Saccharomyces cerevisiae S288C: one gene and its partners. The protein of the gene in region 1 binds, or shares a complex with, the protein of each later gene. Each region holds a gene or a part of one and is shown on either strand. Other genes may lie near its edges.

Region 1 (5,154 bases):
ATTTAGATTTTGGCACAGCATACGAATTGGGCAAGCAAGTGTTTGAAATTTGTCAAGAAGCGGGCCAACATATGATGAAGGCGTTGGGCGATGAGCATTGGTTAACATTTTATCAAATGGGGAAGTTTGTCGATCCAAATTGGGTGGATAATGAAATTCCCACAGAGATAATTGTTCTGCAGATGAGCATCTTGGGCCGCTTACTGGAGGTTTGCCCCCTTGAGGAAGTCGAAATTGTTACATCGCAATGGAGCACACTAGAATTGGAGCTAAGCGCCCGTGACCTGGTGAAAGACAAGTACGCACTGGACGGACAGAACGACAATAAGAGTAAGGTAGGCGGCATTGCTAGGGAGATTTTCCACAACGTGACTAATTTCTGAATACATACAGCGTATAGCTATATAAAGGTGTATGTATGTGTGTATGTATGTGCGAGTGTGTGTGGATATATATATATATATATATTTACAGGAGAGAGGGTAGGAAGCCCACGGGAATCATGCAGTTGCTTGCTCCACGGAGCTTGCATGAATTAGCTGTTTCAAGTATTTTCTCACGGTGGGGAGTTCGTCTAATTTAGGGACTTTATTATCTGGGGACTTTCTCAGGTCTTTGATGGCGACACAAGCCTCTTGAACGGCATGAGGTTCGAAGTCGGAAGTGAATAAGATGAACGACTCGCCCACGTCTGTGATCGGTTCTTGTGATATTTCGGATATGAGGTCATTGGAGTCCTTGAACCGCTGTAGTTTTAAGTTTGCCAAGAACTTGATCCCGTCGATGAAGTTAATGTCGACTGTATTATCCTGGATGGTTTCCGATATGCCGAAAATGGCCAACTGGAATCGTGTGAGCATGGAGGCGACTTCGTCATCAGGGATATCCTTGTTCAAGAAGTAATCGTTGGCCAAAGTATCCAAGAACTTTTTCCTCTCCGATTCATCCTGTAAAAATTCGCGTGAAGCGCTATAGGCCAGCTCTCTTTCGTTAAGTACATGTCTTATTTGCCACATGGTGGTTCTGATAGAGTTAGAGAGCTCACTGAATTCGTCATGCGTGGAGCCAACAATGTTTTTCAAGAGATGGTTTTCGCGAGCAAGCACATTTTGCTCCCTGAGGCAGTTGTACCAAAGGGAATGCAAGTCGTTAAAGGACTTGTGCCTCAACTCTGGGATGCTCCAGGGTCTGATATGGCTGGAAGGCGGCAAGTCGTCGGCGGACCTGATGAATTTCTTGTTGGAGAAGAACTGCCACAGCGGGTGGTCGTCGGGACAGCGCAGGTTTGAGGTTGTTGGTGGGATTGGTTCGGTAATCCTCAGGTTGTTGGAGTGATGAGTCAATTGAGTGGGCGGTCTTATTTTGTCTTTGGGAAGCACCGGTTGTTTTGGCTTTGGTTTGGTAAACTTTGTTCTGGCACGCAGGGGCCCTCCTTGGGAGTGGAACGATCTCTTCCACATTTTTATTATATTTTTATGGTATTTTTTTCTAGCCGCAGAGATAGAATGGTACTCTCTTACCAGGGCTCGATAGCTTTCAGGGCAATTCTTTTAGTTTGCTGAAATGATATTTTTTCTTCTTCCTGATGCGCCCTTTTGGCTATCCGTGCTGTGTGATAGGTCGCGATATTGAAAGAAGAAAAAAAGCAAGAAAGCTGAGGTTTGAACAAACAAGAGGCAGGATGTTTCCATCCATTCTAGCAACCAATACAACAGGGGAGAGACACGCAGATAAATACACACACACACACAACATCACGCACACTCAAGAAAATGGAGACACCTTTGGATTTATTGAAACTCAATCTCGATGAGAGGGTGTACATCAAGCTGCGCGGGGCCAGGACGCTGGTGGGCACACTGCAAGCGTTCGACTCACACTGCAACATCGTGCTGAGTGATGCAGTAGAGACCATATACCAATTAAACAACGAGGAGTTGAGTGAGTCCGAAAGACGATGTGAAATGGTGTTCATCAGAGGAGACACAGTGACTCTAATCAGCACGCCCTCTGAAGATGACGATGGCGCAGTGGAGATATAAGCAAAGAGGAGGAGAAAACAAAGGGAAACAGTACGTATTTTTTTATTTTACTTTTAGTATATTAAAAATGTGTAAGATATAAAACAAAAAAAAGAAAAGAAACGAGAAAACATAAAAAAAATGCGTATTAATATTATAACAGATCGATACACTTGGCAATGGTTTCGACACCGGTTTGCAAGTCCTCTTCGGAGATGACCAAAGGAGGAGCCAATCTGATGATGTGGTCGTGGGTGGGCTTAGCCAAGAGGCCGTGATCCTTCATCAATAGACACAAGTCCCAAGCGGTCTTACCATTGGCCTTGGATGGGTCGATTACGATGGCGGTAAGCAGTCCCATACCACGCACCTCAGAGATTATACCGTTAGATTTGGCTTGGAGAGCTTTCAATTGGGCGATGAAAGAGCTACCCAGTTGGGCGGCTCTTTGGCACAGCTTCTCGTCGCGGATGACCTCGAGGGCGGCGATGGCAACGCGGGAAGCCAAAGGATTACCGCCGAAAGTAGAACCGTGAGATCCTGGGGTAAAGCAAGACATGATGTCGTGAGAAGACAGAACACATGAGACGGGAAGAACACCACCTGAGAGAGCCTTACCTAACAAAACAATATCAGGCTTGGCCTCTGCCTTGTAGTGGTCGTAGCAAAGCAACTCACCGGTTCTACCGATACCGGTTTGAATTTCGTCAACGATCAATAGGACGTTGTGCTTACGGCATAATGCGGAGACCTTTGGGAAGTAGTCTGCGGGGGGCACGACGATACCGGCTTCACCCTGAATTGGCTCTAGAATGATGGCGGCAACGTTCTTACCTTCAGGAGATTCCAAGATAGGGACGAAATCTTCTGCGTGGCCGTATCTGATCTTGTGCACGGAGTGACCACTGGCAACGTTAGGCACGAAAGGCCCGAAATGCAACTTGGAGTCCTCGTAGTCGGTACTCAAACTGATAGCACCGAAGGTTCTCCCGTGGAAGTTACCCTCGGCACCCAGAATGATGGCTTTATCTTGAGGGATGTTCTTCTTCATGTACCCCCATCTTCTGGCCAACTTCAAAGCAGTTTCCACGGCTTCTGCACCGGTGTTCATGGGCAAAACGGTTTCGAACCCGAAGAATTCGGTCACGAACTTGGCGAATTGCGCGTAAACATCGTTGTGGAACGCTCTGGAGGACAATGTTAGTGTTTGTGCTTGCTCCGTCAAAGCCTTGATGATGTGAGGATGGCAATGGCCCTGGTTGACGGCAGAATAAGCGCTCAGGAAGTCGAGGTACAGCTTACCCTCCGGGTCCCACACATGTGCGCCCTTAGCCTTGTGAAAAACGACGGGCAAGGGGTGGTAGTTGTGGGCGGAGTATTTGTTTTCCCATTCAATGGTTTGCTTGGAGGAGAGGGTAGCTTCGGACATTGGTGTTGTGGTTCTGTGCTGCTGTGGTGTCTTGTGGTGTAGTATCCTTTGCTGTAATACGAACAACCGCCATATAACAACAAGACTCAACGTATGGTGGCCGCAATTTATATATGCAATCGAGTCAGCCAGTCAGCCGCTAAGGGCAAGGGCACGCGACTACGGCGTCGGCTAGCGCCGCTAACGGCAGGGGACGCCAGGTCCTGCCGTTAACAGAGGGCAGAATTTGTCCGTGCGCACATTTGCGTGTGGTGCATGGGTTCTATTCCTCATTAGCGCGGCTCGTACCACGCGCTTTTTTCTTCTCGTTTGTTTGTGTGTGTGCTTTTTCTTTTTCCCGCCAGTGGGGTATTTATTTATCTAGTAGCAACAGGCAAGGATTGGAGAAGAAAACAAAGAAAAAGAAACAGCAAGAGAACCCAGATCAAGAAACGCACGCTTTACATCACACACTAATACAGGAACAAACAAGACTTAATGGACGCACAACTGGAATGGGCAAGCAGCCTCGTCCCAAAGAGACAGCTTCAACAACAACAACAACAACAGGAGCAGCAGCAGCAGCAGCAACAGGATTTCCACAAGGACCAGTTGATGACTGTGGGTATGCGAATCAGACAGCGGGTCGACCAGGGTTATGCATCGAGGACGCCGAGCACCTCGGACGCTTCACTACAGCCGGGTGTCATTAGAGATTACTCGAGCGTTATTGTTCCGCAATTTACAAGGTCGCCCTTGCCCACTGCTAACTCGCTACCACCTATGCTGATAAACCAGAGAACAATGTCGACCGAGGCGTCCTCGCTCGAGAAATGGGACGTCGCGGAACCTGCCGCGGAGCACGAAACAATGGTTAATGGATCCAAGAGAAGACTTTAACAGACTTGCACAATTTTTTTTATCTCTCTCTTTTTTTCTCTCTTTTTCCTACTTTACTTTCTCTTTTATAGATTCTTTATATAGTCTTTTCTCTTGTTCGCACATTTTTTATAGAGGATATAACAAATAATAAAAACTATCGCAGTTGCTTTGGCTTCAGGGGGTTTTTCCTTGCTTTTCCGCCGGTTTACGTGCTTAATTTCGGTGTTTTTTCTTTCGGGTAAACCTATGGAGAAAAAAAAAAAAAAAGACCTCTATTTATTGAGTACACAACATACACGTACAGGTAGATAAGCAAACAAATCAGAGAAAAAGCTAATAGAGAAAGAAATACACACAAATCAAACCATAAAAATTCTCCCTTAGGCTATGCATAATGGGAAATACTGACTCCAAATCCAGTTCGATCCTGCTGAACCACTGCATCGCTCTGGTTCGACCGGAGGACGCAGATGCGTCCTCCCCTTCACGTACGTCGTCGCCCTCGCCCTCCCTTTCAGTTGATGCTGATCCGTTGAGTTTAAACCTGTCAATTTTTAAGCTGGATTCTGGGCCTGACGTTGAAGCGTTGTTCAGCGACAAACCAAATGTCCCGCTAGATACCGTCTTCAACGATTTTTACTTGGACTTCATATCAGTGGACGTGCAGGACTTCAGCATTAACTCTAGTTTTAAAAAAATCCTGCACATTATCTCTAGTTTGAACCCACCCAACTTCAACAACTTGATTGTCTTCCTTTCGCTCTACATTATTCTTTCCGCGAACTCCTTGCCCGCTTCCCGTACGGGACTTCATTCTTCGCGGCTTATCAACGCCATAAAGAC
Region 2 (4,016 bases), 260 kb from region 1:
CAAGCCTCTAAATCAAAATTGTTCAAGTCCGCAAGATCAGTTTCGAGATTATGTCAAAATTCCATCGAGATTATTCCTATTTTGGAATCGGTGATTGATATGACTACCAAAGCAATGGTCCAAAAAAGTTTTAAACTGGATTTAGGCGAGCACTGTAAAGAAATTATTGAAAGGCTCACAGATTGCTCGCAAAAGTTATCGGAATTGTGTACTTATGGATGCGATTCCACAAAGCTTGGGAAGAAACGATTCTATCAAAAATTAGCAGATATCCTGATGGAAGTAACCAAGCGCACCAGGGAATTGGTTGAATGTGTGAAGATGGCGAACAGGCAGACTCTTTCACAGGACCTCTCGTCATTTTTCAATTATAGATCTGTACAGTAAAGTCATATATATTCTTTAGTTATTATCTTATTTTATTTCGATCACTATTTACAGATAAATTTTTCTTTTATACATTTTTGGCCAGTGAACCATCAACTATATTTTTTGTATCTTCACAGAAATGCTTTATTTTCCTTGTCGGATATTTTTGCCTTTGCAGATGCTACATTTTCATTAGCAATGTTAACCAAGGAATGAAGATCTTCTTTATCCAGCAAACTTCCTTGGATAAATTTAGCTGCTTTTTCAGATCCATTCGTTGACAGAATTGCACCAATAAATGCGTTCAAGACACTAGCAAAAATCGTGGTTTCACCATTTATGTGGCCATCTTTTATTGGGTCTCTCATCTTCCAAAATATGAAAGGGTCTAGATTATGTAATTTAACGAATGTGCATGCTGTGTTTTTGGACGTTAATTCCTTAGCGAATTTTGTTCCCAGATTGCTGAACTGCAAAGAAAGTTGCCCGTTCTCGCAACTCTCGGCCGGCGAACCATTCTTTAACGAATGAATGCACGTCTGTAGTTTCAAAAACTGTGCTCCTAGCAGATTCAGTTTTTCGTTGTATGGCTTTGACCCGTGTGCGAACGACTTATGTGTTAAACACTGCAAAATCAGTTCGTTTGATAAATTTATTCCGTACTTGGGCAATTGTAGTATGGATCTAACTTTGTCTTGACACTCTTTTGCGTTAACTTCAGTAAAGAGTACCCCGCTAGGATTTCTCAAGTACGACTCTGGATCTCGTCTCAAACCATTAATTCTCGGACCCTTATGAAGGTATATGACTGTTCTAACGCTTTGTAAATTGCAGTTCAAAGCAGTAACGGGTCTCCGCAAGGAACGCGATATAAACATCATGCTATTTTCCATGTTTCCGAGCTTGTCTACTCTTTACTTTCCATCTACCGTTATAGTTTTATATCTCGCTCTTGTTCATACTATATGCAAGTTTTCCAACGCTTCCCATAGCATAAGCTTGGATAGCGAAACCTAAGTTGTTTTTTTTTTCAAAAACTCATCAATTAGGGCAAACTTGAATAGTCAGCTAGGTCATATATTTAAAATCAATTAGCCCTATGACTACATTAGGTTTATTGTTAGGTCTTTACGGCTGCATATTTGCTTTCGCCGTTCGGCGGGGTCCTGCGACGATTTCTGCGCGGTCTTGTATGGGTGGAGTTGACAGTTAACCCTCCGGACCCCCTACCCCGGTGTGCCCCCGGTCCATCTATCCATTTTGCGGTAACCCCTTTGCGCGACAGCTGCTTATCAAGGTACCTGGATCGAGCCATAAAAATTGATCTACACAGATGAGATGGGGCATTGGGATATATTATTAGTCGGAGTATCATTATAGTTATTCAGTTTTATGCAGGTTACTGGCCAAACGTTTTTCTTCATTTGGAATAATCGTTTAGGAGCTACTGTTCCGGTATAAAGTAACAAGCACAGTAGCAGAGTAATACGCAGTGACGATAATAGAGACTAGTAAAACAGTCGAGTTGTCGGACCTAAAATGTCAGAAGAAGACGATCATTGGAATTTAGTTAGATTACGTAGATTACGTAAAGGGAGAGAAGGGGAAGAACAGTCATCGAAGTCAGAAATATCTTTGGATAGTTTGCATGAAAGCTCCTTTGCAGGAGAGGACGACGAGGACTTCGATGCAGATGTCCTATCGAACACTAGCAGTGAAGAGTCTGCACAGATGAATCGTATTTACGATTTTAGAACATCTAATGAATTTAGTAATGCTGGAGTTAATATTGATCAAACTGGAGTTCCCACTATTTCAGAGTCATTTGATACTTTGTCCGGCTCAAATGTTGGCGGAACGGTATTGCCAAGTATGGAGGGGTCGAAACTGAAGGATAGTACGATAAGGAATTCTAGCACACTATCGGATCATATCATAGATAAAAGTGAGGGTAAATCTGCTAAATTGAAGATGTGGCATGTTATCATGCTATCTTCATTGCTTTCCATGACCTTTTCATACCTCGCCCTCGAATATTCCCTGACTGGTGATGTGTTGGCAGGTTTTAAATCACAACAGTCATTACGTAATAATGAAAGGAAGCTGTTGTACGGCAATATCGATTTTGTTGATAAAAAATCTTACGATTCATCAAGTGACTCTTTAAGTCAGTGGGCTCCTTCAGGAAAATACTACGTCGACTTCGACAATCATATTGCATACCCATTAAAGGATGATGACCTAATGGGCTGGAGACGATACAAAACAGACTTAGTTATTTTATGGTATACAACAAAAGCTCGAATGAAAGACGGTTGGCACAAGAGAATTAACAAAATAAACGGAGGAAGAATAAAGTTACACCTATTTCTCAAGAATTCTTTTAAATCCGCTCAAGAAAGTTTAAGGGTATTGCATAAAGAACAGAAACGCCGCTGGAAAAGGCTCTTTGTGCTACTTCATAATAAATACAGGCAATTTTCTCCACATATTAAAAGGTATTTCGATCATTCTTGCCAAAAAGCAAAACAATGTTGGTCGGGATCCAGATTGCAGTTGCGCAAGCTTCGTTTCAAGTCAATGAAACCATTCCGAGTTTTTCAGTTTAAGGTTCGCAAAGATACCAACTGGTTTGTAAAGCAGCTGAAACGGTTCGGATTGAAATTACAGCATTCGAGGATGTATAAAGCGATGTCAGAATGCAGGAAAAAAAATTATTTTAAGTGCAAACACTAGATCATCCAAAACCCAGCATGAAGAATGAAATTAACAAAAGAAAAAAAAAACGACTGCTTAGTAGGAGTGTCATATATCCCTCCTTTAAATTTTTTTACACTTACTTTCCTTTTTTTATTGAGAATAGAAAAGGTGCATCTCTCTCTCTCTCTCTCTCTATCTCTATCTCTAAGGTTTTATTACTTTCATAACGTATGCTATCCATCTCTTTTCCTTTTTTTTTGTTTTGTTATTCCCTTTTTTTACTCAGTTAGATTCATACTACTATATTTACATATTCTTCGAAGCTTTTATGAGTTAAATATTTTGTTGCTTTATGGGGCAGAAAATAGTCGACGTCAGTCACCTCCAGGTTATTATGTAATTCGCTAAAACGACTTTTAAACATCGCGGGAGACGGATCTTTGACAGAGACCTGGAGGAAAAAATAAAATAGAAAAATAAGCTCAAAAGTTACAGAGAAAACTGCATCACCAACACGGCGGAGACAGTTATAGTGACTTGATCACCGTGAAGCAATTCCTTTAGTTAGATAGACTGTTTCTTTTTCGGAAAGAAATTGAATAAAAAGAGCCACATTTTTCTTCGAATAAATACTAAAAAATAAAACGAAAAAGCAAGGTGGATATTGGATAGTTGTATCATGTCCGATACTAACACGTCTATTCCCAATACAAGTTCTGCAAGGGAGGCAGGCAATGCTTCACAAACTCCATCGATCAGCTCTTCATCTAACACTTCCACTACCACTAACACAGAATCATCCTCAGCTTCTCTTTCTTCTTCCCCCTCGACAAGTGAGTTGACCAGCATTCGTCCAATTGGAATAGTAGTCGCTGCTTATGACTTTAATTATCCCATTAAAAAAGACAGTTCTTCGCAACTTTTGTCTGTACAACAAGGGGAAACCA
Region 3 (4,164 bases), on another chromosome or scaffold:
AATACTAGGAATTTGTACAGAAGATGAAATGGTATATTTCTATGATCTTAATAGTGGTAATTTACTCCACTCTAAATCTTTAGCCAATTACAAAACCGATCCCGTTTTGAAGTTTTATCCTGATAAATCATGGTATATCATGTCAGGCAAGAATGACACACTATCAAATCATTTTGTTAAAAACGAAAAAAATCTAATAACTTATTGGAAAGACATGTTCGATAACACGATGATTGAAAAACGTAGGAAAAACAACGGTGGAGGCAACAACCACAATAAAAGGACGAGTAAGAATACTGATAGGATTGGCAAGGATAGGCCGAGTAGATTCAACTCAAAAAAATAAGTTACCTGATGGAAGGAATGCGGTAGAAAATGCACATTCTTTTTCTTTCATTTAATGATATTTACATGTGATTGACGACAACCTAATATATAAATATATATGCACGCATATATTTTGTATATGTAACGTTAAAAACGCATCTGTTTTTGTGATTTCAATTATCCGCTAAAAGAAATTCTGTTTTGTTAAAGTAATCTTTTGGTACATATTCACTGATCTCACCTTTTGTCAGCCAAGCAAAATCCTCGAATGCATCATTTTTCGACGCCACCAAATCAAATTTTCCAGCCAAAATGTGTGACTTCACAATAAACTCAGCAGTCCTATTTCTCTCGTCCTGCAAAACACCTATGGGCGTAGCAGAAACAGACCAAGTGTATATCTGATCACCGCTCAACAATTTCAATTCGTTCTCTGCGTGTACGTGTAACGGCTTAGATTCATCAGAAAGATCGAAGTTAGGGAATTTCCAAGTACCGCTTTTATCCTTAACCAAAAGATATAAGGTCCTGCTCAATTGTCTTTCAAGGCTCTTCATATCATTTGACCTATCTGCTTCCGTTATCCTGTCGTTGGGAATCACGGGCCTATTAACATCGTCTTTGCTTTGCTCTTTTTGATTGTTGCTAAATGCTACTGTACTGTCATCAGAAAGTTTAACTTCTTGCTTAGTACTTCTTTCTCTGCCATGTTTAATGTCCGGTATGCCTCTAGGAAACCAAATGCCATTTTTTTTGGAGATAGGTCCTTTCTGCAGGGATAGAAATTTGTGTTCTGCTACAGTACCCTTTTTGAAATAAAAATATGCCGGAAACGTCCACATTAGTCTCTTTTCTAGTTCTGATTGGTACTCATAGTATTTTTTCTCTAGTTCATTTAATTCTGATTTAATTATAGGGATTCTTGACAGTAGTACTCCGACTTTAATCTTGGGGGGAGCGGAACTGGCAGTTGCAGTTGCAGTAGCAAGCCCTCTTTTCAACATTAAATTTACCTTCATGGTACTGGATAAGCGCTTATGATTACGTAGAATATAAAGTTTATTGATTGTTTAACTGTTTTCTTTCCTTTTTTTTTTTTCATTTTCATTTTCATCTAAACCTTGAAAAAAAACCAGGAATACGGTAAAAAAAGAGAATAAAGAATAGGATAATGCTACATTTGAAACACAGTAGTTATGTGAATACATAAGGATGTCCATTTAACAAAAAAAAAAAAGGAACATAGGAAAAAACAGAAATTATATATAGAGGTAGATTAGTTTTATGTACTATGAGCAAATAAAGGGTGGAGTAAAGATCTTAGCTTTGTTGTTGTTGCTGCTGCTGTTGGTTAAGCATATTCATCAAAGAATTCAATTGAGCAGTGGGGTCAAATTGTTGCTGAGGTACAGGGGGAGCCGCTGCGGCAGGTCCCTGAGAAGGTAATGGTTGGTTGGGGGCATAACCATACGGTTGCTGCATCATAGGTTGCACATATTGCTGTGGTGGAGGAGATGCCAATGGTGCATTGCCGTAGGGTACTGGAGATATCGACGATATGCTACCAGATTTGTTAGGTTTACCAGAACGTGGCCCATTTCTGCCAGAATCAGTAGGCATCTTTTGAGATATTGCCTTGGAAGAAACACCTTCACCAACGATAATATCCGGTTCTTCGAAAACAATACCGGTAACGAGAGGTTGACCAGAAGTGCCACCCCATTGCGCACTTACTGACCATTTTTTATCAGCGTCCGTGAGCCTGTGCATAGGAATAATACTGTAACCGTGTTGATAGTCACAACAATCTCTTGGACCAAAACCAACTCCCCACCTAGTTCTCAATGGCAGGGCTCCATCTTTATTGAAGTTTTGCAAAACATTTTCGGCCTCATGTCTTGAATAAACTTTCACAAAAGCGTGTTTTCTGGAGTTATTCAGAATGACGCTTTGTACTTCAGCAAAAGGTTTTAAAACGTTAGCAAGGTCCCATTCCTTCATGTTTAGTGGTACCCCACCGATGAAAAGAGTACGGCTGTAGACTTTAATATGATCTGGTGGCAATGTAGAGTCGTAACTTACTGGTTTTGGTCTATAATGAGGATTATTGGAAACATTAAGCTCATCGGGGTATAAGTGGTGATTGTTTGTGCCAAATGTCGTATTGGGGGCGCCTATGCTGTATTGGTCCTGGGCCACAGATGGATAGCGGTCCTTCCTGCCTGTCGATGGCTGAGAAAATGGTGCCGGAGGAGATCTTGATCTATTCCTTCTTGAGTTATATCTTTCTCTTTCACGTTCACGTTCACGTCTGCTACCATATTCGGTAATTGTATGGGCTTGGGGAGGTGCGACTGTACCCACGGATGTATGTGAAGGCAAAGTTTTAAAATGTTTCTGCAGAGCCGCTATTACTTGGAAAAGAGCTGCTTGCTGTTTGGCTGGATCTGTGGAAGTCAAATCAGTTGGAAGACTTATGTTCAAGTTTAAAGGAGGACTTTTCTTTAGATTTGACAAGATTTGTTTCGACCTCTGCTTGGGATCCAGTGATAGTTGTTGTGAAGCGGTGTTCGCGGTGTTATTCGATATGTCCATAGCAAAGCATTTTGACCTGATGGCGTTCAAGTAACTCTTTTGAAACAAGCCGGACCTGTCCCAAATGTCTAAAAGCATACGAATTTTTTCCTTGTGGTCTTGATTACTTTTTGCAATAGCATCGGATAGCAGTTCTTGAATTACTTCGCCCAACGTGTTTATGGCATGGGCACAAGTACCGGGTTTGTTGCTGCTGCTGTTTGAATTTGATCTTGTTTCATCCAAGTAAGCTCTACCTATTGAATCGATGATATATAAAGAACCTAATTTATGAGAATCGGGACAAAGTCTTGAGTAGTCTATTATCAAAGATATGATTTTCGATTCAATATCAATGTGATCAAGTGCGTAAGTGGTTAGTTTCTTAATACGAGAACCTGAAATACCAGATTTCAAATCTTTGAATGATTCCAAGGTAGCTACAAAATTTTGAAAATCGTCGTCCTGCTGCATTATGGGATGTTTAGTATGTTTGTTGCTTTCCGGTTCCTTTCCTGTAACTCGTGCTTGGAGAAAAGTACTAGAAAAAATGTGTAATCAGAGAAAACTACAATACAAAAAAATAGACAATAGTATATTTTTCTTTTGCTTGAAATTATAGGTTGTAGCAATGGATACGGTAACGTAACTAATTGTAAGAAGAGCCTTGATTGGTGAGTTAGTTGTGTACAATACGATAATACGATGCGATACGATACGAAAACGATACAATAAGGTTGCCGAGTACTGACTTTTGATATGTTAAAAGCATGAAACTCGTAAAGGGAAGGAGCGGGGAGTCATGCTAACGAGGAATGGAACATGGAGGAAGGACGAAACACTTGCCCTTTTATACTTTTTCTTTTTCACCTCCTCCGCTCCGACCGGTGGCAAAAAAAAAAATCAAAAATGTACCGTATGTAATGACCAATAAATCACCAAAGACGAAACATTTATTTTTGCCGCCGACTTTCCAATGAATTTGCTCAATTTCAGGTTAGTGGTCATAAGGATATCTAACAAGCCATCAAAAGCATAATGTTTTTGAGTACTCGATAGAATTATGTATTGCGGACTTTAGTAGAATAGGAAACAATGCGCTATACGTGCGCAGTAGCTCATTTCGACCATAAACTAATTGTAGATTTTTTGCGTTTCTGGTGCTATTCATTGAAACAAGAAACCGATAGTACTTCCACTTACAATACTAATACTTGCGGTAATGTTACAATCCTTCACTTATTATTTTCGGAGAATAATAAC

What was found. Proteins that work in one complex are often made in the same cells at the same time.
Region 2: MRPL4 (region 1) and MRPL15 share a complex: the UniProt entries of both Saccharomyces cerevisiae proteins name them as parts of the mitochondrial large ribosomal subunit.
Region 3: MRPL4 (region 1) and MRPL17 share a complex: the UniProt entries of both Saccharomyces cerevisiae proteins name them as parts of the mitochondrial large ribosomal subunit.

What each region holds. Positions count from the first base shown.
Region 1 is NC_001144.5:1,010,797-1,015,950, reverse strand, and holds MRPL4 (mitochondrial 54S ribosomal protein uL29m MRPL4), read right to left. Parts: upstream 1,461-5,154; coding exon 501-1,460; downstream 1-500. Other genes in the region: SEC39 (Sec39p), read left to right, coding at 1-383; U4/U6-U5 snRNP complex subunit LSM3, read left to right, coding at 1,773-2,042; CAR2 (ornithine-oxo-acid transaminase), read right to left, coding at 2,176-3,450; DIF1 (Dif1p), read left to right, coding at 3,928-4,329; ECM30 (Ecm30p), read left to right, coding at 4,706-5,154. UniProt on the Saccharomyces cerevisiae protein: Component of the mitochondrial ribosome (mitoribosome), a dedicated translation machinery responsible for the synthesis of mitochondrial genome-encoded proteins, including at least some of the essential transmembrane subunits of the mitochondrial respiratory chain.
Region 2 is NC_001144.5:756,726-760,741, reverse strand, and holds MRPL15 (mitochondrial 54S ribosomal protein mL57 MRPL15), read right to left. Parts: upstream 1,263-4,016; coding exon 501-1,262; downstream 1-500. Other genes in the region: ATG39 (Atg39p), read left to right, coding at 1,909-3,105; Ras family guanine nucleotide exchange factor CDC25, read left to right, coding at 3,749-4,016. UniProt on the Saccharomyces cerevisiae protein: Component of the mitochondrial ribosome (mitoribosome), a dedicated translation machinery responsible for the synthesis of mitochondrial genome-encoded proteins, including at least some of the essential transmembrane subunits of the mitochondrial respiratory chain.
Region 3 is NC_001146.8:170,941-175,104, forward strand, and holds MRPL17 (mitochondrial 54S ribosomal protein mL46 MRPL17), read right to left. Parts: upstream 1,347-4,164; coding exon 501-1,346; downstream 1-500. Other genes in the region: TEX1 (Tex1p), read left to right, coding at 1-346; Nrd1 complex RNA-binding subunit, read right to left, coding at 1,648-3,375. UniProt on the Saccharomyces cerevisiae protein: Component of the mitochondrial ribosome (mitoribosome), a dedicated translation machinery responsible for the synthesis of mitochondrial genome-encoded proteins, including at least some of the essential transmembrane subunits of the mitochondrial respiratory chain.